Lepisosteus oculatus: one gene and its partners. The protein of the gene in region 4 purifies or fractionates together with the protein of the main gene of each other region. This does not show direct contact. Links are inferred from orthologs where the notes say so. Each region holds a gene or a part of one and is shown on either strand. Other genes may lie near its edges. The genes, in order: rab2a, bsg, bcap31 and vdac1.

Region 1 (7,971 bases), on a different chromosome or scaffold from region 4:
AGTTGTAATCTATATTTCCTGATTGATAGATGCATCGAAGTTTGTTAAGACCTGGGTTTCAGCCCAAAAAACATAACACAAATCCAGCATTACTGTGTATGTTGTATACATAGTCTACTTCATTCTGAAAATTCCCCAATTTCTATTTCTGGATGTGTTAGTTGAAGATTAGTGTCCTTCTTCTGTTAACAGCCAGTGGCAGACATTTTGAAAACTGCCCCAACACTTTCATCTCAATTAACACAAAACATTCTTTATCTCTTAGTTCAACCCAACATGGAACAACACATTTGAGTTACATTTACGTCCATATTTAACGACTTAAATGATTTTAACACATCAAAAGTCTCTTCTTCTGAATATACAGTATCCAAAATATGAGAAATAGATAACTGTTATATGGTTTGGTTATCATACCTCTTCTTTTCCTTTTCTGTTTCCTCTTATACCTACTTCTTTACTTTCCTTTTAACTTTACAAGTCCTTTCATCTTACAAATCTTCCTTTTATGTTTCGCTTACCTTCCTGTATTTTCTCATTCCTCTACTAACCCACAGCTTAAGGTTAAGAGAGGAAGTCCTCTGAAGGCTTTCTCTGATACCATTTGCATTTTATAGCTTTGGAATTTTCTCTTAGTCCTGGAACGTGGAATACATTTGTGTTTTTTTCTCACACATGCAGACTGGTTCTGTATTTCCTGCTATTTTGGTCCCTGCAAAATGTGACCCAGAATTCTATTTTTGGTCTCTGATTATCTGTGATTACAGACATTACAAAATATACTATAGAAACAGAAATACATACAAATATACATGTACATTCCCAATCAACACAATCTTTTTAAGGCACTAAGAAATTCCATTATTTTTAATACAGCTGAACTCTGTGATCATGGATTCAGTTCCGGGTCGTGTCACTAGCCAACTATAATAATAATAATTGCTTACACTTATATAGCGCTTTTCTTGATACATAACTCAAAGCACTTTACGGATAATGGGTACTCTCCTCCACCACCACCTATGTCCAGTCCCGCCTGGATGATGCAACGGCAGCCATAGTGCGCCAGAACACTCACCACACACTGAGGAGAACAGAGTGATGAAGCCAGTTCATAGATGGGGATTTTGGTTATACCCCTACTCTTTTCAAGAAACGCCCTGGGATTTTTAATGACCACAGAGAGTCAGGACCTCAGTTTTAAGTCTCATCCGAAGGACAGCGCCTTTTTACAGTATAGTTTCCCCGTCACTATACTGGGGCATTAAGACCCACGTAGACCACAGAGTAAGCGCCCCCTGCTGGCCCCACTAACACCTCTTCCAGAAGCAACCTTAGGTTTTCCCAGGAGGTCTCTCATCCAGGTAAGATAAGATAAGATCACTTTATTAGCCATATACAATTTCCTGCGTTAGGAATTTGTCTTTTCACATACCCCAGCTTGCTCTCCATAAGATACAGACAGGGAGAGAGAAGCTTGGGGTCAGATTGTATAGCACCCCTATAGCACCTGGGGTTAAGGGCCTTGTTCAGGGGCCCAATGGAGTTAGATTCCTCTGCCGGTTGCAGGATTTGAACCGGCAACCTTCCAGCCACAGGTGCAGATCCTTAGCCACAGTGCCAGCACTCCGCCTGGCTGGCAGGTACTGACCAGGCTCACACCTGCTGAGCTTCAGTGGGCTGCCAGATGTGAGTTGCAGGGTGATATGGCTGCTGGCATATACAGAGTAATACAGAGCAATACAGTAAATAGAGTAATACACAGTGATACAGAGAATACGGGGAATTCAGTGTCGTTGTGCAGGTGACTTACTTCATTACCTGATGGAGTCTCAGGGACAGGTGTCATCAATGACAGGGCAATGGCTTCCTCCTCTGGGTTTGTGAAGAGAAAGGTTGTGGCGTCAATGGCCTTTCCCACTACTTTAAGCGCTGCTGGGACAGGTGCCAAGCCAATCCCCTTTCCGTCCCCTTCACTCCTCATGACTGCCCCAGCCCAGACTGTGTTTGCTGACTCCATCACATTAGGCTTACGCTTCTGGTTGACCTTATTGGCTGTCACTCTGTCTCTTGCTGTAACTGGGATTCTGCAATGCAAGATGCACAAGGAGCTGTGTGACCATGACAGTAGGGTGAGATTAGCTGGCCAGGACTTTTTCGGCTTTCTACTGTTGATGAGGAATGGAACTGTAACGAAAGCATTCTTCCAGGACCCTATGCAGACGACACAATCCGGGAAATCCAGGTCTCTCTGGTGACCAATGGCAGGGTTAAGAGCTTCAAGCCAAGACGAGAAAAATGAAAAAAAAACAGACAAATTAGAAAGTCTAGTAGAGATCCTCATGAAAGAGAACTGAGATTCAGGGAAAGAGGAATAGTACAGACAGCCATGATCAACACCACAGAAGGATACAGCTAAAGGTGTATCCTGTGAGAACACCAAGGTAGCCCACGGGTGAGGAGAAGTCATGGCGAAACAGCTGGTGCTACACTGATCGCAATGGCATGCAATATAAAAAAAGCAGCCCGCATGATAGGCGAGTTGTGCAGAGACTCAGTGCAAACTCCAACAGCCAGAACTACAATGACAGGGATTAGCTACAGCCCTGGCAGGCAGGACATGGGCTGCATTGGGCAAGAGGGTGGGAAAAAGAGCGTGCTGGGATGCTTTTTCGGATAGACATGGTCCCCAGCCACAATCAATGAGTGGTGCCCAAGTCGGGATCACACTCCAGTTGCCTTAATTGAAGACTCCAAAGATCCCAAGTAGTGGCGGTTTTAGGTTGCGGCCAAAATGGGATAATCAGCTATTGAGGGTGTCTGGGAAGTTGCAGCACCCAGAAAAATGCTGTATGGGGATGGAGGTCCGAGGAAACTTATTTTTAGGGAGAAATGATTGGCATGGATTATCTCCTACACCATAAAAGGCTAAGCCCAGATTTTGCAACCTGATGTGGTGTATTATTTCATCTAAAATCAGGTTGAAAACAAGAACTACCCACTGCTCCTTTTATAGTGAGACAGGCTTAGGGAATAATGTGTGCCATGACATGATATTGTGCCTGGCAAGCTTGATTAGAGGTTTTACATCCGTGTGTGCCATGCTCTCAGTATTTTTGAACTGAGATAAACAAATGTGAGGCACTTGATCAGTTTGTGCTAAGTTCCCGAGAACATGGCAGGACAGGATAAGCTAGTATAGTCTGAGAACTAGTGGAGAATCAGAGGCATAGTCAAATTGTGTCTGAATTTGGGGTGATAAAAGGCTTTTCAGCAATGCAGTTGGGTAAACTGCTTAACAAAGTTTCTCCCCGGTTTGAACATTTGAATACCAAATCTGACCACTGTTGTTTATTACTTCTATTAAATTTTGTTTAGATTATTTAGTTACATTTATGTGTGAAACCATTTATCTCCTGCTCAAACGCTTTGTGTCTGGTTCAAAACCCAAATAAATCCTAACTTACATCTTTAGATAAGATAAGATACATGTTCTGGATGTGTTTACCATTTTTTCTAGAAGCACAGCTCAAAGTGCCAGGACTCTGATTTCTCATATATCCAGAATGAAACACACATTCTGAAGTCATCTCACAATCACAGGCATAGGTCCTTAAATTTCATAAATTGCACTCATATACACCTTCCCTGCAAGTAAAGTGAAATTAAAGTGAATATTAAAAAAATAATTAATATTCAGGGCACTGGAACAGGTAATCGTTTCACCCCAGAAGCTGAATAGGTTTCAGCACTAGCTTTTTCTACAGAATCTCACACTGTGGAGCTGTAAATCTCACCCTTAAGGAGTCAGCCTGTGAAAATTCTTTAAAAGTTAGAAGCATTTGATCAAATATCACAGAATTATTTTTACTCAGTAGAAATGAAGAATTTTATAGAACTTATAGCACAACAGTAAATGTATATTATCATGACAGCATGACAAAATCCTGTGACTTCTTTAATTCACTAATACTGTCAAAGCTGTGCAATCATTAATGTTACCAGTATAGTTTCTAATATCATACTTTATTTTAAGTTTTTGTGGAAGCAGGCAGTTTTTTTTTCCATTGGGCACTTCCAAATGAACTTTTGGAAGTTTGCAGAGACTACAAACTTTAAAACGTCTTGTTTGTGAAGTACATGCAGACTTCATCCCTAACATCACGAATTCTTTTCTTACACATTTCAGCATTTTTTGCTGAACACCTTTCCAACCTTGAACAGGGCAAAAAGTAAAGTTTTAAAACCTGCGTGCCTTTTTTGGTATGTCTAAACTCTCTGTAATAGGTGAATTATTCCAATACTCAAGCATTGCCAAATTAATTTCAACAACAAGGCACATGATAAATACATCTTGTATTTCGAATAGGATTTTTGTGTGTTGTACCTTTGGCATACGCGATGTCAGTAACAAAGCGGGTAAGTATGTAGAATTAAACAAAAAAGCAGTGAAACAGATTCTCAGCGCACTAGCGCCGGCACGGCTACAGAGACAGCAGACAGTCGGCGCTCGTCTTAACATACGGGTTCGGGCGCAGCAATGTCAGCACTTCCGGGCGCAGCAATGTGAGCGTGTTCTGCGTGCGTGGCGAAGGCGGAACGTGTGACGTGGGCAGCCCGGAGCTCGGAGGTGTTTATTGTTCCTTCTGGTCGCCGAAGAGAAAGAGGCTGGTGAAGCGGAGTGAGACTGAGAGAAAGCACAGGCTTTTTCCCCGCCACTTCCTCTCTCCACAGCTTGAACGAGTAACACAGCGAGGGAGCAAAGCACAAGACCCGGGCAGAAACAGCATCCCAGCGGCCATGGCATACGCGTATCTCTTCAAATACATCATTATCGGAGACACGGGTGAGCAGCCGCTGTGTGACGGCGTAGGAAAAGAGAGAGAGAGACATTTACGTCTCTCTCTTATTTCCGCAGTGTTGGAGTCAATGACGTGGTAAAAGCACAGGAACGCTAGGGTGGGAGGGCTGCTTAGTTTCTTCCCCCCCCGTTAAAATAACTGATCTAAGGTGACATAATTGCCATTTGGCAGGTGAATTGACAGCAGCCGCCTCGGCACCGGCCTGCTTGTGTCTTTCCATTGCGATTGCGGCGAGGGTGGAGGGGAGGTGGGGGCTAATTGCATTGCAAACACCAAATAACCCTTTCCCCGAAAATGGCTCCGGCGAAGACGGACCCGTGTAGCAAGATGCGCCGGCCCTCTCTGGGGGGCTAGACGGGCAACTGTTGGACGAGTCCGCCCGCAGATCGCCGGCTGCCCGTCGTCGTGTTAACGTCTGCAGGGGAAGGAAATGTTTTCGCTTTGGGGGGGAAAATGGCGTTTTCAGCGGTTTTGCAGACTGTCAGCCTTCGGGTTGACTCTGCTTTTCGGTTATGTAAATCATCGGCGACAGGTTTTTTTTGTAGGCCTAGGTGGTGATGGGGGGGTTATATTTGTGCATGCCAGCTCACCTGCAACACACTGTTCCACCTGCGGGGAATAAATAGTATAATCGGAGGTTGGAGGAAAATAATAAAAAAACTGGCCTTGCAGTTCTCCTAGCTGTCAGGGGAGCTCCGTGGGTTGTTTCGCATATGCTGGCTTGACAAAAGTCCGGGCCTTCGCTAGACCCTGGTCATTTCGTGATAAAGATGCCCTTTCATCTTTTGGGTTGCTTAGGCGGTGTGCGACACCTTGACCGGGTTTCAGCCTTCTTCAGCTATATTTCTGTTAGCTGAAACGGGGAGGAAAGCCCGTGTTAGTTTGCTCTCTTGTTCGTTGTGAAACCCTCTCTTAACGCACTTACCATCTCAGCATCACAGGTTATAACATACTTTCCTAGATGGCATCCGACTAATTTAAACCTACAGATCCGCTTCAAAAATAATCTTCGCATATGTCATCCCCTGCAAATCAACGTTTTGCGAATTTGCTTAAAATATAGATACAAAACTATTCTTTATAGACATGGACGTTATTATCTGGAAATAAGGAAAGAACGTTTTTTAAGAATGTATTTATTTTATAGACTGGCACATAGGAAGATTGAAGTAAAACTTGCGCACAGCCTGTTATCCTCACCATGTCCTAAATGAATTAATTCAGTACTAATTTTGCCACTTGGTAGAATAAGTTTTAAGTGACTTAGAATAGTATTATATTTAATTATTTAATCATTTACTTTATACATCAGTGAGCTGCATTCCTGGTGGCAGTACGTGTGGTTATGATGTTGGTTTATTAATCGGTTATAAACTCTTTATCATACCAGTCAAAATAGTAATGTCCAGGTCAGTATTTGCAGAATTTTGATTTAACTGCTACCCTTTGCACAACAATATAAATGCAGGTTTCATACATTACCAATATAAATGTTGTCTTTAATTTTGCTGTAGATTTTAAAATTATTTTTCCCAGAGTCCTGAGAAGTTATCGGATTGTGTTTCTCACAAGATGTACATGTGAAGTAATTAGCTGCTGTGGTCTCAAACTTTGGTTTATGAAGTAAACTCACATACAAGTGTCCCCTGCTCAATCCAACAACGCCACTTATTTTTCACACATGGCTAAACCCAGGTCTTCAACGAAATGTTATTGCCTGTCATAGCACCCTCTTTCCTAGTCTTATTTTTCTGTGTTTGCTGAGAAGTACCAAAGTTGTGCCTCACAGTTAAATGTTATTGAGTCATTTAAATGGCCTAACCTCAAAATGGTAACTGCAGACATTGACACAAGGCCTGTGTCAGCAAGGCTGAATTGGTACAGCTCCCTAATACTTATTTTATAATGCAATGGTTCAGATGTTGCATGTGATATTGCACAGAGGGTAGAAATGTGGTGGGTGTACTGTGTACTGCAGTTCAAAGCTCATGCAATGTGGAATATCCATCTGGGACTGCACTCCAGCAAGGGTGTGGAGAGCTGGTGCGCTCCTGTTGCTCAGTGTCTTCCATAGTAACCGGCAGAAAGGATTTGACTTAGCGCATGTCCTCCAGGTTTCCCTGCAGGGCATTCCATGCCCTTAACGAGGGCGGTGTGCTGAAGAAAGGGCTGGTAACGCATGCTGCTGTGCATCTGTATTTAAAGGCAAATGATCCTGGTAGAATTCTGGAGCCAGTAGTAGTCTTTGATCAGTGCAATGACCAACTTTAAGTCTCTCTTGGGTTGGAACGTGTCTGCCAGACTGGCAGACAAGCCTTTGCAGTGAGTCTCGTTTACTTCTTGGCTGTAATGGGAGAAGTAGTGCAAGCTCTGTGGGACAGCGTGTGTTTTAAAGGATGTGGCGTGTAATATTTTAGAGGAGGAAGAGACGACCGTGAAACTGAAGCTCGGTGGTGACTGTCTTGGATCCAGAGGAGGAGAGGGAGGAGGAATGAGAGGCAGAGCGACAGAGAATCGGACAAGATGAGGACGCAGGCAGAGAAAGGAAAATGTAGTTTTGATTTGTTTTAGAAAAGTTAAATCTAGATTTAAGACTGAAGTCCTGAGGTCATGCCCTTTGCCAATTCGATATTCATTAGAAAAAGTTTCAGTAGTCTCTCTTTTCTTTAAAAAACTCTTTCAATAGGCTTTAAAATACTGTTTCAAGAAATGAGCTTGAATACTTTAAAAAAAAGAGGCCGAACATTTTCACAAGTTCAGCTCATGTTTCATCACGCGCTGCTTCCAGACTTCCTCCATACAACTTCCATAATAAAACCGCCCCTTATCACAGTCTTATTTAGCATCTGAAAATCAGACAAAATAGTTTTTCAGGCGTTTATTGGAATTTTATTTAAATAATAAATGATAAGGAAGGTGTGATCTGTACAAAATTCTACCATGTAAAATATCCTCTTCGACATGAAATGTAGCCTATAGACAAGAATAATTTTATGTAGTAATTATAACAATTTCAAGAGATGAATATGCATTGAGTTATTAAAAGTTCTTCATTCAAATTGAAGTTGTATATTTTCTCCGATTATTAGGAGCCACATTGAGAGCAAAT
Region 2 (7,309 bases), on a different chromosome or scaffold from region 4:
AATATTAGTTCAGACCTCAATCACATCATAGGGCTTTCGACAATTACCAAGTTCCATGCTAAGCAAAGCAACTTAAATTTTCATCTCAATGCCCCCTTTACTTGTTGGCTGAACTTTAGCCATTCTCACCTTTTCTTTTCCATACAACACTCCTTCAGTTAAAATAGTTTAACCGAAAACCTGCCCAGTTCGCATTAAGCAAATTACCAATCTCACCCTCAGGAACCCCCTTTTCAAAATCAAATCTCAGTTCCCATTCACTTTGCACATCTCACCACAGTCACTTAACATTTAAAAAGGAGCCCCACAAGTGATGAAGAGCCAATTGTTTTTCTTTACACCAGTAACATACTATATAAATGCTATAGTATAAAACTACAATATGGGAGCTTGAATGTATTATTGTGCCCATTGCAATCTGTTTTTTTGGTGAAAAGAAATGCAATAAAAAGTAACACTTCCATAGCATTTCATAAATGGGAGGACACAAGAGACTAATAACCCCATGTTTAAAATCCCAGTTAGACTACAGCCACACAGTGCTACAGTGAAAGCTAATTTTACTTATGAACTGACACTGCCATTATAGGAAAAGTTCAGCTCTGGGACTGTTGTATCCCTCGGTATTATTGGCAGACAGCAACCAAAAGCACTTGTCATTGCATAACGAGCAGAAAACGATTTACCTAGTAACAGCACAGTAACTCCACTGTTCTAGAAAACAATTCCCAAGAAGAATATTCTACATTTTACATAAACCGTATGCCAAGAAATCTTCTCTTATATAATGCTTTAGGCATAACGTGAATAAAACCCACTGCAAAAACTGGTAAATTCAACACAAGGTCTCACTCCTTACCCTTTTAACTGAACAATTTTTCATTGCTTGCTCTACACAAACAGAACCTGATGTGGACAGTGCAAGCCACAATTTCAAAACACCATTTAAATAATTTACATTCCCACAACTTTCCGAAAACACGGTTTGTGAATGTATAACTGTCCCTGTTCAATTTAACTGTGACGGCTTTCTTGGTCATATTCATGACGCCTCCTTAGCACAATACCGAGCACCCTGTCATCTTGCAATGACTGCTTTAGTATGGAAAAAGATGCAGCCACACTGCTGGTGAACAATAGCTGGGCATGGCTTCATTCAAGAACAGATAGGTTCTCAGACCCATCAGGCCTTGCTATGCACAGTACACCAGAGACGTATGGGTATAAACTGAAAGATATGTACCAAGCCTCTACCTCCTTAACAGACTATAGTGGCCCAAATTACTTTTGTATCCTTGACTATGTTACACAACTCTACAGTAGTCAAACCCCTATGAGTGGGCCTCAATTAGTTTTTACCCAGTTAAAATTAAATTCCCCTCGTGACCAGTTACTGACACAGCTTGTGGCTTCCTGCTTACAAACTCAGTACGGCCCTTTCAGTCACGGACCTTCGGCATCACAAGTGTTGGAATAATAGCAGATAATGAGATTTAACTAATCACATGCCTCTCCACCATCCTGGAGGCCAAGACAGTGCTTCCAGCTGCCTAAGAACAAGGGATTTTCAGTTGACATCACCTGGCTCCAGCTCAACGTCAGACTGCATCAGCGCTCCTTCACATCTCTCCAAGCAACAGGAAAGGAAAACGGCAGACCGCAGTTGTAAATGCTTAATGTGAATATCAAGCACGGAAGCAAAGCATTTTAGTTGTCTCCTCTGCTGGATGCAAAAAATACATCCTGAAACTCAATAGCATATTTCAGGTGAGGCACCTACAAATAGCTAAACCTGCTCTTTCCTTAAATGGCTCTTTTCTCGCCCTTTAACTGTGCTAAATTTAAACGAACATATCGCAGGCGTACTGAACACCGCCTAATCCATTGTTATGCTGAAACGGGGCTCCTAAAGCCCTACATCGGAAGACGGTGATCGATGCGGCGATAAACCCGACAGATCGGCCTTGCCTGTTTGAAACGCTCCTTCTTAAGATCGATCAAATTAGCGACATGAAGCCGCCACACATTCCAAAAACAGGTCGTTCTGATTTAAACCCCATCGGGAAGTTTCGTGAGAAGTTTTACCGTTTTTTTCTAATTCCTGAAGGCACGGGAGGTAAACTGGGTTTATCCGGCGGATTAAGCAGCATGTGGTGTTAACAATTCTACAACGGCCTCTCCGACTAACACAGGAAGATTATTACAGCTACCTTTTCTAAAACTTTTTACGATCTAGCTTCCATATTGACTGCAAAACGAATTTTATACGTTAATACTAATAATAATAATTATATTAAGGTCGCTCCTGCGTTATCTTACGAAAACACGTTGCCTCCCAAGAGCACCACCCAATGTCGCCCTCATTACGCAGTAACAGGCCATAAGTAAAACACATTTGCTTAAACTAAAGTTTGAACCGACCCCGAATGACTATCGGGGTACGTTTGACCATTTAGGGACACTAAAAACGAACAAAAAAATGAAACATGCTTTAAAATCTCACGTGTCTATACGTAGCGATTACATGTCCGACGTATACGTAGAGATTGTTCACCACACGCCAAATTACCCACCTACTCGTATCACCGTATCCCTACATGGGAATAACGTTTATACGCCGTGTTTAAAAAAACACACCATTAAAAACACAAATGACCTGTAAACATCGCAAAAGAACGTAGCTCATGAAAGAAAACAAAACAAGTCAAACCCCCCCCCCATCTTAAAAAAAAAACAGACATACGTGCCTCCGTCGCGCCTCTATGGAAAGGCACGCTTTCAAAAACGTCGATATTAAAAAGAGTCTTTTCGAGCCCGAGGGTCATCTGGACCTGAAGGCTGCTGTAACACGACCTCGGCCATTTTCTTACCGGCTACCGCCACTGTTTACCGAGCCGCCTCACGCTCACCCGACAAAAAAAAACAACAGATTATTATAGGCTTGTGTTCACCAACGTTTCACGGTGGACCTGACCATCGCATTTATATTTCTACAGTATGGGGGGAAAAAAGAAACAGGGGGACCATTGTACCCATTTCTGTTGACCGCGGTCAACCCATGACATTCTTGTTTGTTATACAAAAAAAGGGAGGGCTACCGACGAGGGGAGGAGAAAAACAGACGAGCGTCTTACCTGTCATGGCACTGGCCCCGTACAAGAACACCAACAGGACACCCGCTGTACAAAACACCGCCATCGTACGGGCTTTGTCACAAACCATCACGGCTCAAATTAAAAGTCGAAGCGCCTCTGGATCAATTCGAACCAACGGACGGCTCCGGCTCTGCCCTCTGCCTCGCACTGGCTCGAGCCCCCTCCGTCGTCCTCTATTTGTTCCTCGTCACGCGCCGCGCCGTGCACGCGCACGTACCCGCCCATTTCCGGCCGCGTGCGCGCGTCACGCCCCGGCGTGGGCGGGGTTGAGGTTACGTGACCGAGAGCAGCAGCAGCCGCGGCGTGTGTCGGAAGACGACGGGACCCAAGTGTTTCAAATGGATCTTTTTGTTTTTTTTTTTAATATAGGAGTGGTGGAGGAAAAAACATACGATTTCCGCGGGCGAAGTACATATTTAAGGCATTCCCGTACCACATAGCCAGGAAATCTTTGTGCAGCCTCCCCTGTCTTCTTAAAATAACAATGTTAAAGCCCCGAGGAACAGCTGTGGTTTCAATAATATTTTAAGTTACTGGTAGAATATGAATGTCATAACTTCCAATGAACTGAATTGCGTTTTATATATTTCAACGCCAAAAAAATCTCCTAAACCCCTCTTTCGAGCCCTGTTTAGCACCTACCTTCAGTAGCTATAAAACTACAAAGCACAGTAAGATTACTGAGATAATACCACGGCACAGCCAAATTATCGTTCTACGTGACTCAAAGTCCAACTTGCTATTGTTTAACGAGAAAGAATATTCTCCGTCTTAAAATCTCACGAGGTGGATTCATACGCGAAACAGGACGGTTTTACAACATCGCTGTTCTGGTTATATTAGACCTTGAGAGTGAACTCGTTGTTTGCACTAGACTGACGGCTTCGGGATCACGACCAAATTAAGAACTCCTGATACTTTCGCTCCGCGAACACGCGATTGCATGATAAATAGCAAACCGAGTGTCCCAAGTAATTTACCTACTCCAGTCTTGAAGCGTGAGATCCTGCCGTTTCTTTGAGCCACGGCAAACTGCTCTCAAATTGAGAAACGGCCGATTTCAGCTAACGAAATGCGAGATCTGATCCTGTAGTGAGTACAATCGGCATTCTAAAACAACAGATCTGCTCTGAATCTGTTAACGGTGGATCTGCTGACCTGTATCAGATTCAGAGCAGATCTGTTTAATCTATTATTAAAGCTGATACGTGCTTTTCATTTCTTATAGCCAGGATCAGCTTTAATAATAAAGTTTTTCAGCTCAGGTGACAAGTTAAATTGAAGTGTTTATGAGTTTCTCATACAGGGTCCCATTATTAGCTGATAAAAACTGGGAGCCCGTCCGCCGTCCAAGTTAAGGAAATGTGGTGGAGGTTAGCACTTTACCTTCAGAAATGGGGGCACGGGGGGGGGTTCTTAAGAGATAAGATCACTTTATTGGCCCTATACAATTTCTTGCATTAGGAATTTGTCTTTTCACATACCCCAGCTTGCTCTCCATGAGACACACAGACAGGGAGAGAAGCTGGGGGTCAGAGCGCAGGGTCAGCCATTTATACGGTGCCCCTGGAGCAGCTGGGGTTAAGGGCCTTGCTCAGGGGCCCAGCGGACTAGGATTCCTTTTCCAGCCACAGGCGCAGATCCTGAGCCACAGAGCCACCGTTCTGCCCTTAATTTGTGCTCACTCCTCGCCTACAGTGGTACTGCAGTGGTGAAACCCAGCTGGCCATGACTCTCTGTTCAGTGGTGTCAGTGCTGGCAAGACACTGACTGACCCCCTAGAGACTCTTCTCTTATGGTGGCCGTCCCCTGAAGCCCTTTCTTTCTGTCCAGCAGGTTTTGTTTCCCGTTACAGCTGTAGTTTACGGGCCAGCCGACTGGTTTGTTCTGAGGTGCTGCTGCTCCAGCATACCCCTGCTTTCCCACAGTCTGCGCCCAACCCCGATTCAAGCTCTTCTTGCACTGTTAATTGCAAAATAAATAAAAAAAAACTCCAGAATCCACATCGCTATTCATCTCAGGCGCGTTCAGAGCAGCCAGGACATCCTTACCCGCAGCAACTCGTTAGGAACAATTAAAATTACAGGATCGAGTGGGAATGAAATCTGCAGCCCCCTCATTATTCCCTTTAGGTTTCTGCCCCTTGTGGTAAAGAGCCCAAAGGGATACCAGACCAATTAAACTAATTCAATGTTATCTGCAAGGGAAGAACAAAGACAAAGGAAATGAAATCGGATCACCTCGAGAAATGATAAGAGAATCAGCTCAGTGTGTATTTGTAAAAGGAGCCTATTGTAACGACTGGGTGTCATCTCCCCTCTACTTTTAACACGTCTGCAAAGGAAGTCTACGTTCTGCCTATAATGCAATGCAAGAGGCGTAGGCTTTAGGTACCGAGGAACGGGTGGAAAGAGGAGGGGAGGTGTCAAGAGGGGTGGATTTGCTATTTTGGTCAAATATCTTTGTTTCACTGAATAATGCACCTCCTTTCCAACTAAAGGGCAGTCTGCCTCCCCCGTTCCAAAGGCAACACTATTGTACTGTGTAGTGATCTTTAATCCACCGATAATGAAAAATTCAATGCAGACTTTATGTTATTTTACTGCTTCATAGTACAGTTGCAGATTCTTTGTGGTGTACAGTTTGTAAGCTGTGCCTGCATTACTTTGGCTCTTGGCTGTGCGACACAATGCTGTTCTAGGTCATGTTGGTTTACGGGTCAAGCAGACGGGGTCTGCTTCTTGTGTCGCTATCGCCTGCCCCAGGTTTCCTCTATTCCGGTTTACCTCATAATGCTGCAGCCTTAAAGGTAATTACACCCTGAGCCTCTTTGTAGGTTACACTGTTAAAGCAATTCAGTTATTAATACAGGCCATGTCACTCATGCAAGAGCACGCAAAAACATCAACTGGGCGCCGAGGAGAGACTCAGAAACAGAACTCGCTAGTTTTCTTCTCTTTGTGAAATGCCTTGATCATTTCAAGTTTTTCGAGCACATTTAAAAATGAATTCACTTTCTTATCGACAAGAGATCTTAAAGGCATCTATCATAAACTCCCTCCAAAGAACCTTTAGACTATTATAGAAGAAGAAAATGTGTAATATTTTAATATTTTAAGTTAGGTCTTCTGACCAGGAAGCAAATAGGAAGAGGCACTGGGAATTGACTGGTTAAGGGACACCATCGCCATCTGGTGTCTTCTGCATATAGTGCAATTCCAGATTCAGTATTCTTGAAAATCTAATGATGTACTTACTATATTCTATTTTTGCTGATAAGATATCCTGGATCTTTGCCGACTGCCCTATCTTTCTTACACCCAAAGAAGGCTCCACAGCGGAAACGTTGTGTTTTCTTTCTTCTCTCTTTAGCATCAAATAAACCTTTACTTGTTCCTATATTCTATTCCCCACTGCAGTTATTATAAATCATGTCCTGTCCAATGCTCATCCATCCACTTAAAAGTCAAATCCTAACAGCTTGTTTAAAACTAACTTTGTTCTGGAACACAACATCTTTAAAGTACAATGAAAACAATCCCCAACATATTTTACAACCGGAAAATAATGTTTTTAAAAGTAAGCTTTAAAAGTTCATTTCTTTCCACTAAGAAATAAACTGTGTGCATTGTCGACAGAAGCACAGGATGAAGATTACAATGGTCGGCTTCCTTAAATAGCTCCAATCACATCAGTGCTCCTTCAGCAGTCGGCTCTCCTGTAGGTGCATGTAGCTCTTAATGAATAACAGGAAGGTTGAACTTTTCCTGACTTTGCATAGAATATAGAACTTATAAAAATGTAATAACGTTAAATCCACCACTTTAACAAATGTCCTGACACTCATCGTGTTAATAATACATTATTTATCTCGTTAATTAGTAATACATTTGTTTTTCTGGAAAAAGTAAACTCCCTTTTCGGTTCCTGGGCTCCCTCCCTAGGTGTTAACTGATCACATCATTCCCTTATTTTTTGCACATTAAGGCACGGGATACATAGGAGCAGTAACATAAAGGATCGTATTTTAATAATGATCTTGTAACTGAAAATTCGGATCAGACAGTACTCAAAATAATTGTTGGTTATCAAGAGCAAAGCCAGAGCCATACGACTGAGACTAGGGCCTGGGTTAGCTCTAAAGAACTGGCAAA
Region 3 (7,520 bases), on a different chromosome or scaffold from region 4:
CTCATTAATTATTAAATTGATCCTGACAACAATCAGTTAATGAAGAATCCGGTTTTAGAGTCACACCTTCAGCAGCCCTGCTCTACAGTTACTTCTTTAACAGCCAGAACTGCAATCAAGGAGCCCCTGTAGTAGGGTAGGACGCCCCGGCACCTCCTCCTCCTTGCCACTAGGGTCGGCAACACTCACCAATGAGCAGAAAGACCAGAATGAGGATCAGCACCACAAAGTAGGTGTTGCCGTATGTTGTGATGGCCTTCACCAGACGAGACTTGAAGATCTTATTCCATCTGCCAGAGGGAGACAGACAAGACTGTGAGGAACTGGCTGCAGCATGCAACTCTGAGCATGCACACACGTGCGCCCACACACACACATTCTCTCACACACACACACGCACGCACATGAGAGCTGCACAAGGCCCACCAGGGGAAGAGCTGAGTTCTGCAGCAAGCTGCCCCATAACACTAGCAATGCACAGGTTCTTAAACTGAAAGCTGTTCTGAAAAGGGAAGGGGCAGTTCCACATAGGTTCCCTTTTGTGTTGTACTTTCTAACAAAGTCACAAAGGCAACTGCTTCAGTCCCCACAGCTGTATAGTGACAGAAAGCACGGAGTAAGTCCACAATATGAGCAAGTGGGCAAACAAGGAACAACACCTTAACCACCATGGAAACATTCAACCATTAAATTCAGATGAATATGCACAACCCGTTTCCATTCTAACAGCCTTTCAATCGCAGCTCAGCACTCTCGCTTAATTCTGATGCACAACATCTAGAGGCTTTCACAGCGAATGATGATGCACAATCAGTCCGCCCTTGCCCAGAATTTGGCTCCTCTGTCCTTTAGTCCTGCTCGCTCTCTGACCGGACAGGCTCGGGAGCTGCTGTCCTTTCTGACAATTCTCTGGCCTTCGGTCCACAAGCACACAGCAGGAAAGGGCTCTCGGGTGTTTTTCCGCTGGGCCTGCTGGAAGATGTCCGCAGCGGTCGAGCTGGGGGTTACCTGGTCGGGGAGATGAAGGGCACGCAGAGCAGCAGCACGGCGAAGACCTCCGCGTACAGGAAGGTGGCGACGGCCGTCCACTGCAGACTCATCGTCTCGGGCTGTCGGCTCTCACGCTGCGGGGGACACGAGAGGCACCGTCACAACCCTTGAACGGGGGGGCCGGGGGCAAGGTGCTGCGAAGGCCAGATCGCCACAGGGAGCCATCAAGAAGGGTGCTGGGGCCACAGCTGTAAAGCACGTCCTGTTTTCTGGGGTTGCTAAAAAGGCGTTAGCGAAAACCAGGGCCCAGGGTGCTCATTACTGCTGCCTACAACTCACAGTGGGGGTGCATTGTAATGGGCTTGTTCACACCCAGCTCCACTGAGCACAACTGCCACAGGAGATCAGTCTCAGGCCCACAGCAGTGCAACGGCGCCATCTCCTGTCAGGCCACGGAACAGGAAAACAGGGTGTTCACTTGTTAAAGAAATCTCATAATAATTTATAGTAATTTCTTACACTTATATAACGCTTTTCTGGACACTCCACTCACAGCGCTTTACAGGAAATGGGGATCCCCTCCATCCCCACCAGTGTGCAGCCCCACCTGGATGATGCTCCAGTCTTCTCCCCACACAGCAGCTCTCAGTGGGGAGGAGAGCAGAGTGATGAAGCCAGATCAGAGATGGGGGTTATTAGGAGGCCATGATTGGTAAAGGCCAGGACATTGGAATAACATCCCTAGTCTTTTCGAGAAACTCCCTGGGATTTTTAATGACCATAGTCAGGACCTCAGTTTTACGTCTCATCTGGGCCTTTTTACAGTATAGTGCCCCTGTCTTTAACTGGGGCATTAGGACCCACAGAGACTGTAAGGTGAGCGCAACCTACTGGTCCCACTAACACCTCTTCCAGCAGAAGCCTGAGCTTTCCCAGGAGGTCTCCCATCCAGGTACTGGCCAGGCTCACAGCTGCTGAGCTTCAGGGGGCTGCCAGTTGTGAGGTGCAGGGTGATTTGGAAGCTGGGAGTTGTTTTTGTTATCATTACAGATTTCTTAATATCAACATCATGAAATGCTGGGCACCTTGGATTTGATTTAGTTTGATCTAGACTCAGCCCAGGAAAACAAACCACCGCACACCACAGACCCCGCCCCTACGCTGCTGTCCAATCCGACTACGTAACATTATAAGCCCCACCCCCCTACATACGCACCAAAGCTCCCGCCCCTTCCACAGCGCCATGGCTGGCTTCAAACATTAGCAGCAGGCTTTCAAATTAACCCTCATCAGGGGCTGCCTATTTCAAACAGGTCACCCTTTTCACATATTTGCATAGAGACGTTAAACTTAGTTAGTATCCGCCCTAATCCCAGGTGCTGTCGCCCTAATTTTAAATTACACTAACGCATATATATATATAAATATCCCTCTTTAGCCTTATTGCATAAACAGGTCTGTGCCGTCTATGAAATTGTATTAATATTCCGACACTGTAAGAGAAACTGCAAATTGTGGATGTTTGTCTTTTGTTTTTCTAATGGCTGGGCACCTGTTTTGCACCGATAGAAACCAAGTATCAGTTCCCACAGGGCGAGAAAGGTAGCGACTCCAGGCACTGAACATATATCCCGTCAGGAGCCAAGTCTACAGTTCCGGGCTGAAGTCCGCAGCACAGAGCACTGTCGAAACTGCGCGACTGATAACAGCGAACACGCCTCCTGAACTCTTCTCTTCGGATCACGATACTGGTGGTGAAATATTAAAATTATGAAAATGCACACAGCTGTTTCAATATCTTACTTTTGTATTCGAAGTATGAAGGTAGTCAACCACACCACGCCCTTTTTAGAGAACTGCGTTTATGCGTTCATGTGACATTTCGGATTGGTCAGCAGTAAGTGACGACATTACATGCAATGAGATCAGTAATTTAGCTGATTAAATTAAAAAGCTTTATAATCATAAACAGGCATAATTAATTATAGTGTTAAGTGGCTTGGTGATTAAACGTCACAAAACATTTTATTGCGACGTAGCTAATTTAAACCTTCACTCCCATCGTTTCATCATTAAATCACTCACAAACGCAGAGTCATTGCCGTGACACTCACCTTTCTCCACTGATGAATGAGCTTTCGTTGTTTTCGCCGTTGAGCTTTTAGGTTGTCGAGTCCTTATTGTATTGTAATACAAAATACTCTGTTCTCAGTTTTGCTCCGGGAATGTCCTGTCTGCAAACTCCAGCTCATCAACAGACCATACAGTGCAAACACTGAACTCTGACCCGGGAAGGAGAAGCCAGAGACACGACATAACCCCGGAAGGAGAAAAACGAGGGGGCGTGGCAAGCTGCCAAAAAATAAAAATACTGTATTGAATGGTAGTATTGCTGTATCACCTCATGGTGGCAATGAAGAGCTGTATAAACAGAATGCGGAATCTTAATTTCCACTTCTCGGGGTTCACTTCTTAATTTCTAGTATGTGCATACGTGTTTTGGAATGCGCACCTATGTATGTTCTGCCCCTTACAGATGTTATACAACGCTGTCAACAAGAACCATACATTTATCTTGACGGTCTGTTTTAGGGATCCTAAAATTTACCGAAGAGAAAAAACAAATATTTCTACAGGATACGGAATTCTGATCCTGCAGGATGTTTGCAGGTGCGGCTCAAGTTTTTTTTTTCTAATGAAACGCACAGAGTTGTGAGGATCTGAAATCATCACCTGACGTTTATCATGTGTACGTGCTGTACTTGAGAACATTAGAATTAGGAAACCAGCGCTTCAGAGAACACAAAGTGCTCTTGCCAGGAGCATTGCTTTAATAGCCCACGGTGAATGACGGGAGAACAGCAAAATGACGTAAGTGATGAGAGGGATTATAAAAAATAAGGATTATTCAGGGGTTTGGAACAAATGATCTTTTCCTGGACAATAATTTACATCGCATGGATGAAAGAAGATTTTCTTGGTAGGCACCACTGAGAGAGTACTCCTTCATATAAGCACTGAATTAGGGTAAATGACTCTTGAAAGGATTAATTCACCCTGTACATTCCAGATAGGAGGCAGAAAAACACAGAGAAAAGGTTGACAAAGCAGAAAATATACTATCCATACAACTGAACAGAAAAGGAGCCACACCTGTGCTGCACAGACTAATTTAATGAATGGAGTTCACAACGAAAGTTTGGGATGGATGACAACAGCCCAGTACAATCAGACTCAGCTGTCAGTAATTAGCAGTCACTCGTGATGTCATTTCCTCTCCTGAAGCACTATAAAGACCGGACGAGGTCCCCCCCTCTCCCTCACACACGCCTCCTGCACCCCTCCTGCTCCCCACCTCCCCCTGCAGCCGCCCCTGGGCCCCCCTCAGTCCGCAGGGGGTCCCAGCCTCCTCGTCCTCTGGCCAGGATTGTGATACTTTGTCACCTTGATAGAAATTGCCTTCCCTTTGCTAAGATGTAACAGGGGTAGAAAATCTGATAAACATATTACACAAAACATGTTTGACACAACAAGCTGTTTTTTTATTAAAGGCTTTCTTACAAGACTCCTTCAAATGCAAGTTCTGAAAAGGGTTTTAAAGTCTCTGTGTGTCAGTAAAGCATACATTATGTTTGCATCCCAGTGATCTGACAGAAGCACTGAGGTCTAACTACATTCAGCAATACAGAAAAAAAAAACAATTTAACAATAATGATAACAGTTACAGAACAGCTGTTTCCTTCACTCCAGAAACAGTTCCAAGTCTTGACATAAACAGATAAGGACAAATCAGAGACAAATACTGTCAGTAAAATTGCAAGCACCACTAAAGAGACCTAATACTGCAAACCTTGCAAAACAGGCCAGCATTCTGGAAATGTCAAGTGACCCTAGTCAATAAATATTCAAGGATTCACTTAAAATACTTTTCTAAAAGTTGCTTATTCAGTCTAGGATTAAATACTGGCAGCTACAAAATGTGTTCACTGGGCTCTACAAATATACAGGTTACAGAATAAAATATATATATTAATGTTAAATATAAATGATTAGAAGGCTGCTCTGTCACAGCTCTTCCAAGCCAGTCATTTGAAAAATGAGGAGAGGCCACTACCCAGACACAGTCAGGGAAACTGAAGGTTAAATGTCTTTTAACCATGATGCCATTTGTAACAGACATAGTAAACCCTGTGTTGGTTCACCAAGTAAAACAATCTTCCTTCAACAAAATCTGCAAAACAGTGTCTGTTTGAATAAGCATCCACAAAAGCAAAGAATTTATCTGACGAATTTTGTGCTGTGTTATTTTTTTGTACCTGAACTGAGTAAGTTTGCATAAAGAAACACATCTTTGCAAAATTGCTAAGTACAATAGAACAGAGGTGAAATCCAGTGGACAAAAACAATGGTCTTGCATTGCGTTTGAGTTTAATAATATAGAGTTAATAAAATAGTTAGAAAAATATAATTTTAAAACTAATTTGTGTTGACGACGTAATTTCGGTTGTATACCCTCTTAAGTAAAAAATATAATTTGACTAGAAGAGTATTGAACAGTTAATTTTGTGTAAATATATACATAGTATATAGATCACTTTTCTTAAAATGGCATCAGAAACTGTGATAGTAGTGTATTGAAAATATATGTTTCTCCCTCGTGCATCACATGTTTGTGCAGCTTATAGTCTGGAGAGCTGTGTGCATGCAACTGTCAGCAGAACACGTGTCTCCAAGTCAAATCAGCCAGCAGCCATATCTGCAGCTCACAACTGGCAGCCCACTGAAGCTCAGCAGGTGTGAGCCTGGTCAGTACCTGGATGGGAGACTCCTGGGAAAAACTAAGGCTGCTGCTGGAAGAGGTGTTAGTGGGGTCAGCAGGGGGCGCTCACCCTGTGGTCCATGTGGGTCCTAATGCCCTAGTATAGTGATGGGGACACTGTACTGTAAACAGGCACCATCCTTTGGATGAGATATAACACCGAGGTTCTGACTCTCTGTGGTCATTAAAAATCCCAGAGTGTCTCTCGAAAAGAGTAGGGGTGTTACCCCAGCATTCTAGCCAAATTTCCCATTGGCCCTTACCAATCATGGCCTCCTAATAACCCCCCTCTCTGAACTGGCTTCGTTACTCTGCTCTCTGAGAGCTGCTGTGTGGGGAGAGGACTGGCGCACTATGGCTGCTGTCACATCATCCAGGTGGGGCTGCACACTGGTGGAGGTGGAGGGGATCCCCATTACCTGTAAAGCTCTTTGAGTGGAGTGTCCAGAAAAAAGTGCTATATAAGTGTAAGCAATTATTATTATTATTATTAAATCCAAAGTAATTTAAGTTATTCAGTAACACCCAAACGAAAATGGCCTTTAGTGTATAGGAACGAATGTAGTAAAACAGAGACCTCTGCTGGTCAAATTGGCCAATTACATGTGAGCGTCTGTAAAAAGCTACTTCACTACGAAACACTGCGGTACACTGGAAAGCATCGGTCTGAGGTACTAGCGCTGTTTTAATAGTTAAGACATAAGTATTAACTTATCATTGTATGTATTGTATTGTATTATCATGTATGGATTTTTTTTAGTATAAAACTTCAGAAAAATACAAGAACTATTCTTACAACGCTGTAGCTGTATGTACCCAAACCACAAGACTAGAGCTGTGGTCAAACGTCTTTGCTCTCTCTCTCGTTCTTGGAGGAGCAGATACAACACATCAATACATAGAAATGAGAGCCAGAAAAGGTATTTTTGGAGTGCTTTACAATGCTGAACATTACTGGTGATGATTTTTTTTTTTCTCCAGAATTTGTACATCAGCATAAAGGTCATTCCAGCCAGAGCACTTAGCCCACCATCTCCAAGCCTGCTAGAAAAGTTCACCTGGGGAGTTCAGGTCCGGAGTGTTTGAAATGAGAGCTAGGTTTTACAATAAAGATTTTGCACAGGTGACTTCGAAATGGTTTAGGCAGCAAAACTGTTCTTTGTTGATTTGTTCAGATTATAAGACATTATTATTAAAAACATACACTCGAGACACCCATGTTCACTCCATAGCTTTACAAAAGCGACAGCTGTTTCGTTGACCCATAACACTGTCGAGTGGGCAAAGTGCATTCTCCACTAACAGAGATGCAGAAGTGCAACACCTGCTCTTGCCTCATACTGTCCGTGACGCAGCTGGTGCCAGTGGTATAGCACGACAGACAGGTTAGAGCAACCACCTCTCTTTAGTTCTGAATAAAGGAGATCGCTGGGGGATTTGAACCAGATACAAAAACAAATCGCATGCACTGGGCCTGCCTTCAGGACAGAGAACAGGTGGCACGTCTTCACGCTGAATTTCCCCTCTGCTCCTGGAACCAACCGCCAGGCTAAGGCATTAAAGGCAGGGCCATTCGAGGAGCGGCTGGGTGAGGCCAAACCAGTAGTTCAAGCTAAAACGGCCTCCTGTCTTTTACAACCCTTCTGCTGTTCTGGAGTCATACAAACCCTGACAAAAGAGACAGTACCACGCCACTTCCACAAGGAGCACG
Region 4 (7,514 bases):
CCCAAAAAGAATGCAATATTAAAAAATTCTAAGAATATAAGAACAACTAAAATAATACAGTAATCATGTATTAGTAAGACAAAAATATAATTTAACAAATATATTTATATAGCATAAAAATCAAATATCTATAATACTACATTACAGTTTAATCCTTTAAAGAAATTTCAAAGCATAGAATTTTATTAAAAACAATCCTTTATTATGTTTTATAACATGAATACAAATGTATAATTTATCTGTCCATCTGTTGCTTCTGTTTTATTGTATGATTTCTCATTGTGCAGGCAATATCTTAAAATGTGTGCTCATTTGATGATCATTGTTTCTGACTTTGATATGGTATGCCTTGATGTTTGCCTAGTTTTCATTGGCCTGACAGGATATATTTAGACCTTATAATGAAATACTTTAATCACGCAGTAATCATATTTATAAAATTATTACATTAGTCATAGGCAATTAATACATCTATTAAAATTTACATTTTTTTAAAAGTGCAATAATTGTTCTACATTTTCTAATCAAGAATCTAGAGCTCGCAACTGGATTCACTCGTGTTTTTTCAGTAACACAAAAGTTATACAATGGAAAAGAACATACACTTGTGTTTCAGTAGTAATTAAATGTGTTAAAGACAAAAATGCAATGATAATCGTATTAACACAAATCTGTGTCAGAACAGACAAATCACAAAATTGTTTCTTGTTTCAACGTTTTGCGTAAACTTAATGTATTTCTAAGTACTTCATGCTTTGCAAAACACACTCTAAGAGCAATGTGTTTATCAATTAAAGCACACATTTTCTAGTATTAAATCTAGCGAACTTTCGAATTAAAAATTTGGAAAATAAAGGAAACCTAATTCTCTATTAATGTCTTAAGTGCTAATCCTCTCACTTGTGTTTTGATTTTTAAAATGTATTTTTATGATAACTAGCAAGAAGCACAAACAAGAAGCCATGTTTCCAAAAGTATTTGTAAGTAAGTAATGTAGAAAGAAAGCCGTTACAAATGTTCTGTAAACCAGATAAAATTCAAGCTTGTCTGTGTAAATATCCTTCGGATCTGTGCAATTAAAACAAGCTCAACGTAAATCGACAAATTGATTGATTTGATAACTTATCTGATCATTGTAATATAATATTCAAAGAAAGACTAATATTTATAAACTAATTTCACGCGCTAGTAAATGTAAAGGAAAAACAAGAACGTATTGCTTCCAAGAGCATTAATCTGCTTCGAGCGCCATCTTGTGACACATTGAGTTCAATACAGTACCTTTAGTTTTTTTCACGTTACAGGACGTGACTTATCTTTCCTTTTGTTTTCTTTTTTCCTTGTTATTCATGTGATGAGTTCTTTATCCACTTCTGAATGTTATCATCCAGTTTTCTTTAAATATAGTAAAAGTGGGTCTTGGCACTCAGTGATAAGAATATTGTTAGTTGCATGAGATGTAGTATATTAAAGGAAGTCAGGGGTTTGGCTTTCTTCCAGATATTCTATGCTTACCACATCCCTGCTATTTTGTCAAAACATGTTGCATTTAACGAAAAAGTAAAAAAATATTCGTGTAACGCAGTTCTTCTGAGACAATAGAGGTGGTGTTTTACATATTTTAACAGATTATGAATAAAAATAATTCTGATAAAGAAAAATGAAACTTGATAAATCCGGTGATGGCAATACTAAGAATGAAGAGAATATGATGATGATAATGATGGAAGTCAAGAAGAAGAGGAGTGAAGGGAACAATAAAAAGAAGCCATAGAACAAAACTATTGACTTGTTTCTTATATTAAATATCACAAACAAATGTTGAGTTTCATTTCCCACTTTATTATTATAAATATACTAAAATACAGATATCCTTAAGAAATAAATCCAGTGTAAAACTCACACGGTTTGTATAAATATACATATTCTAATTCATGCCACAGCTAAAAAAATGCTTATAAAAACAATAAAGAGTTTTTTCTATTTCAGTGCAAACAATGCTCAATTTTAACATTTTAGGCTAGCTTATTAGCGTTGCAAAATGAAATCTGAGTGAAAATAGTGATTAAGCTATGGTTTTTCCTTTTCCAGTTACATTCAGAAGGTGGGAAGGAAGTTGTGTTGAAAGCACACAAAACAGAGGTTTTAAAATCACCATACAGTGTGGACAGCAAGAGTAAAAATGGGTGTTGAGGACTGAGGATAAAAATTACATGTGACACTGAGTTAATCAGAAGAAATGATTAACTCAATGCATTTTAAATAACTTATTTTAAATAAGTTTCCTTAGCAGTCATCTTAAAACTGATATAGTGCAAAGCAAGAAAAACAAAAGTAAGCAACGAGTCCATTTTACTTTTATTATAAATTCACAACATGTACACCCAAACATTTTCTAACTGCCTCTTCCTATTATGGATCATGGGGAAGTCAGAGTTTATCCCAGCAAGCAATGGGCACAATGTAGGGTACACCCTGGGTGTGATGTACCAGCCCACCACAGGACATACACACAAACACACTCACTCAGAGTCAGTTTGACAAAGAAGCCAATTAACCTACCAGTATGTCTTTGGACTGTGTGAGGAAACCCAGAAGAATTTGGGGAGAACAAACAAACTCTCTACAGAGAAGGTCCAAGGTCCAAGGTCTGGAATCGAACCCAGGGCCCCAGCACTGTGAGGCAGTAGTGCTAATGACTGCATGACTATGCCACCCTGGATGCACATCAGCGTTTTTAAAATGTTTTACACAAATTTTGTAAAGGTTTTCTGTTTGAAGATACACTGTATAGTAAATTGACACTGTTGCTGTCACTCAGCTAATGACTGCACACATGATGTAAAAGCCTACGATGGTGAAGCCAACTTCTAAAAGCAATTACCATATTACCATTTTTGATTCTCACCAGGATTTCCAGTCACATGAATAAACCAAAATGCTCGTACAGAAGAAGACTATCACAGAAAAGGGAGAGACCATAATTACAAAAAAATATCATTACAAAATGTTATAAAGATTTGATTATAGACTTGTGACAGAAAATAGTTTTTATATACATTTATTTTCTAAAATACCAATTAAAACATTTATGCCATTGCACAGCTCCAACCAAACACGCTGTCCTACCTCTAGGTAACACCCTTGGACAAAATTGTCACTGAAGTAATGATGCATCGCTGAGACCCAGAGTTCCTTGTTAGGAACGAAGAACACCTGGCAGGTATATAAGTGTGTTTTTAAAGAAACTGAAATATTTAACAGTCTATGAAAAGCAGTTGAAATTAATATAATAAAAATATCTTCATTCAAAATTGTACTAAAAAATATCAACTTCACTGTTAAATTCCACTATTAGAGCAAAGACATACACAGTTACCTGTTGAAAGACTAAGTTTCAATATCTGAAATAAAAGGTAACTGTGATTGAAAATCCTGAAATCTTAAAATTAATTACACACAGGTCTCGTCTGGTATGTTAAAGATTGTCTTATAAATCATATTAATAGTATTTATTATATAAATATATACATAATATTAACATAGCCCAAGGCTGCACCTCACCAGATAAAAAAATCAAGAACTACAAGTTTATCATTTGTAGCAGTGGTGACACCACATAAGATTTTTGAAGTTAGACATATTTATACTAAACTATTTAAGTACATGTAGTTTACATAAACTATATATTCTATTCCTGGTTACCATATTATCTGTCGAACTGAGAACTTTGTTCTATTACAATAGGATTGTTGTAAATAGTTCAAGTAGGTAGCTGCATCAGCATGCGGAAACTGCAAAGGAACAACTAAAGGTGTATTCCATACTGAAAAGAGAAGAAAAGAAACAGAACCTTTAGGCACACACATGAAGAAGGCTCCACAGCCGAAACGTTGTGTTTCTTTTCTCCTCTTTTCAGCATGGATTACATCTTTACTTGTTCCTTTGTATTAAACAGATTATTGCATCCGTGAGCACAGAATTTGAAAGAAAATTGAATTAACAGCTGCTATTCATTAATAACTAAAAGTTACGTTTTGAACACTTCGAACATATAAAAAATACAACATCAGGGTTTTCTAAGAAATCAGCGTGTATATAATCTGGTACAAAAACTCAACAGCATGCCCTGTTATCAGTAAAGTCTGTTATTCTTGCAAGCCACAAGCGTGCTCTCATGTTGCTAGAACATATTTTACTTTCTGCACGTATGGCTATAATGTTGAATATTATTATATTGGTGTAATTCTTTTTGTTGTGTCACATGGTTTACAAAGATATAGCCATCTGCCTCCCATGCACTCTGAGCCGGAGGCGTGTCTTCACAATGCGCGTCTGCGTATCTATGCTTCAAGCCAAAGACGGAAGCGCCTCCCCTTTCTCCTCCTGATGTTCGACTGACGAGGGTTGGATCCCAACAGGATCAGACAGCACTAGTTAAGGTATGTCGAAATTTAATCCAGAAAGGCCATTTATGTACCGCGACGATGGCTTGGTATCTACTGGATACCGACCTTGAAGGAACATAAATAATATCGCTTGCAAACGTGCAAAACCTGCCGGAAAAAAGCGTTGCTCACAAGATGCTGATGCTGCACTGCAGATAAGTAGATCGTTTGTGCGTGCCAGGCCTCGGAATGGTAGTAAGGCTTAGATAATTCCTGTGATCAGGCTGGTGGTCAGCAATAATTTGAAGCGTCATTGCAACAATGATAGTATATTTAGCTTTTCAGTTTGTGCACAAATGCGTTGAGATTGATAGAAATAAGGTCGAGTAACTCACGCTTATATCTAAATGCTCTTGAAGCAGAAATACTGTATATCCGTATGTCTGTCAAAGCACCATTTGTAAATCATTATTTAATGTGTGTTTTTATTGCTGAAAAATGTATAATAGAATAAAACGTGACACCTTCTAGTGAAAAAAATGCATTATTACGGAAGTTTGTTTTGAAAGCATGTGAATCTTGGCCCTCAAAGTGACACTTCGTTTAATGTACAGCATTAATCGCAGTCGGTAGTCCGAACATCATTTTATAATCACTTCAAGCATTGCTTCGTCGGTTTTACTAAGTAGCATACAATGGTTGGTTAACTTACGTCTCTGTAAAAGTAGAATAAGTTATTTATGTACACCGTGCATAAAAACAAAAACGTGACTTTTGAATCTGAAGTCGATTATGTGAAGTGTCATCTTCAAAGTGAGCACCGGTTGGTCTGAGACGGTGATATGTGTCGGGCCTGTTCTTCGTGTCTCGCTCGCTCGGCTGGATGGTACAGCAGGTGACCTCTATTCAGCATTGAGAAGGTTGTGCACACATTGCATCCATCACAGACTGGTTTGGAAAGGACAGTTGCACAGCTTTAGAAATGGAGAATCAAAGGGCAATTTGCTGCTCAGAAACCATCATTTGGCATTTCAGACTTGTGGCTTTTTATATATTGCTGTACTTTCATTGAGCCTTAATGAGATAAAAAACAGATGAAGGGTGAGATAACTTTCATGTACTGTGTTTTACTCTCATCATGGTGTTTTTATTTAAGTGATATTGTGAATTTTGTACTTCTAAAACATTGTAAAATTTCAAGGATATTGTGTGTTGGTTTCTTAACTAAAACCTCTTGGAGGATATGTGTAGGTCTGCTATGAAGAGGAAGAATCTATATGGAATATATAGAATATTTCACATCACACTGCAGTTGATTTGCCGTCCACTTCATTTAATAGAGTTTTAAGCATGCCAATGGACTCGTTTTAGAGTCAGTACTGGGGTGTACAAAATGCATCAATAATTGGTTCTGTCTTCTTTTGAAGTTTGTATCCTGTCCCTAATGAGCAAAACTTAATTCCGTTGCAGTTTTACTACTTTGTAGTAATCTCAGAAGAGATCACTTCTTGTGACAAGATACAAGAGATGTACCTTGTAAGATCTTAGAAGCTAAGCATGGTTAGGCCTGATCAGTACTGAGATGGGAGGTATCTGGGGAAAACAAGATGGTCGCTGTAAGTGGTTTTGGTGGATCATTAGGTGGCACTCTTCTTTCTGAACCAGAATTTCCTTTCAAACCAATGCCCCAGTATGGTCACGGGGCACTGTGGTGTAGGAGATGCTTTCAAAAGAATGTGTCCTTTGGATAACACATTAAACGAATAAGAGAATGAGTGTTAATTCCAGTGTCCTGGAGAAATTCCACTTTGGGCTTGCACATTCTGACCTCCTGGCTTAACTTCTCCTGTAGTTTTAATTGATTAAATAATTATCTTCCTCATCTTAGCTGCTGTGTTGTGGGGCTGTAGGTGTAGAGTGGCGTCTGTATATCACCCAGGTCTACATATCAGTTAATCCTATATGTGTGATACTTTGAGATCTGTTGGGATGGGAAGTGTTATTCAGCTGGAAAAAGTTATTTTCTTATTATTGTTTCTGTATTTTAAGAACAAATTTCCTGTTGTTCTTTCCTTTTGAAATGAATCGACTTCTTTCCCTTTCCATTTTTTTCACTCTCCAGCAGTTTTAGGACTCGTGAGATATTGTCCTTTATGTGTGTTTTCCTTTGGGTTGTGCAGGTTTTCCTTGGAAGACAAGAGCATTAGAATGATGCCAGAAAAAATACAAAACTGAAACTATCACAGTAAAGAGCTGGAAAAAGTGTTTGAAATATCCATATTTTTATATTGATTAGTTTATATAGCTGTTAGTCTGTTACAACACAAAAGTGTTGTAAAAGTGTAAAAATCTGTCCTTCGGATGAGACGTAAAACCGAGGTCCTGACTCTCTGTGGTCATTAAAAATCCCAGGGCGTTTCTAAAAAAGAGTAGGGGTGTAACCCCGGCGTCCTGGCCAAATTTCCCATTGGCCCTTACCAATCATGGCCTCCTAATAATCCCCATCTATGAATTGGCTTCATTACTCTGCTCTCCTCCCCACTGATAGCTGATGGGTGGTGAGCCTTCTGGGGCACTATGGCTGCCATTGCATCATCCAGGTGGATGCTGCACATTGGTGGTGGTGGTGGAGGGGAGTCCCCATTACCTGTAAAGCGCTTTGAGTGGAGTGTCCAGAAAAGTGCTATATAAGTGTAAGCAATGATTAATTATTATTAAAAGAGTGCGTCAATGTGGTTCTGTCAGCAATAGATCATGATGATATTTAAAAATGTGATTCCTAATAAAAAAATCAGCATGGTTTTTAGATATCAAAGTGAGAGAGCTGTTTGAAGCTTCCAAATCATTTCAGCAGGCAGGGTCGCTATTGGCTTTGATTTAGACTACTGGTATAAACCACAGGCTTTCCGTACTAGTGTAGCTTGGGCTTCATTTAAAGAATGCTGAATGGCATAACTATCTTTGTTTTGCAAGCCTTGTTAAATTCTAGATGCCTTTTGGGTTATCTTATCTTTGAGGTATTTCAGCAGCTCAAAGTGTTGTTAAATTAGACTGTGATATACACATAAATGGAAATACAATCTCCGAGGAAGGACACTTTAGATTATTTAGTTTGTGAGTGCTGCA

Evidence for each region.
Region 1: the proteins of vdac1 (region 4) and rab2a purify together in Homo sapiens (affinity purification with mass spectrometry; 3 studies listed by BioGRID and IntAct, with this or other methods). This does not show direct contact. The link is inferred for Lepisosteus oculatus from reciprocal best matches to the Homo sapiens genes VDAC1 and RAB2A.
Region 2: the proteins of vdac1 (region 4) and bsg purify together in Homo sapiens (affinity purification with mass spectrometry; 3 studies listed by BioGRID, with this or other methods). This does not show direct contact. The link is inferred for Lepisosteus oculatus from reciprocal best matches to the Homo sapiens genes VDAC1 and BSG.
Region 3: the proteins of vdac1 (region 4) and bcap31 purify together in Homo sapiens (affinity purification with western blotting; 3 studies listed by BioGRID, with this or other methods). This does not show direct contact. The link is inferred for Lepisosteus oculatus from reciprocal best matches to the Homo sapiens genes VDAC1 and BCAP31.

The regions. Positions count from the first base shown.
Region 1 is NC_090701.1:50,092,226-50,100,196, forward strand, and holds the start of rab2a (ras-related protein Rab-2A), read left to right. Parts: upstream 1-4,642; 5' UTR 4,643-4,800; coding exon 4,801-4,846; intron 4,847-7,971.
Region 2 is NC_090724.1:7,646,578-7,653,886, reverse strand, and holds the start of bsg (basigin), read right to left. Parts: upstream 3,353-7,309; 5' UTR 3,223-3,352; coding exon 3,135-3,222; intron 3,048-3,134; exon of another isoform or gene 2,826-3,047; coding exon of another isoform or gene 2,744-2,825; intron 1-2,743.
Region 3 is NC_090697.1:76,379,455-76,386,974, forward strand, and holds the start of bcap31 (B-cell receptor-associated protein 31), read right to left. Parts: upstream 3,307-7,520; 5' UTR 3,105-3,306; intron 2,893-3,104; exon of another isoform or gene 2,794-2,892; intron 1,406-2,793; exon of another isoform or gene 1,330-1,405; intron 1,125-1,329; 5' UTR 1,101-1,124; coding exon 1,009-1,100; intron 291-1,008; coding exon 190-290; intron 1-189. UniProt on the Homo sapiens protein: Functions as a chaperone protein. Is one of the most abundant endoplasmic reticulum (ER) proteins.
Region 4 is NC_090706.1:24,044,488-24,052,001, forward strand, and holds the start of vdac1 (non-selective voltage-gated ion channel VDAC1), read left to right. Parts: upstream 1-4,336; 5' UTR 4,337-4,442; intron 4,443-7,514. UniProt on the Homo sapiens protein: Non-selective voltage-gated ion channel that mediates the transport of anions and cations through the mitochondrion outer membrane and plasma membrane.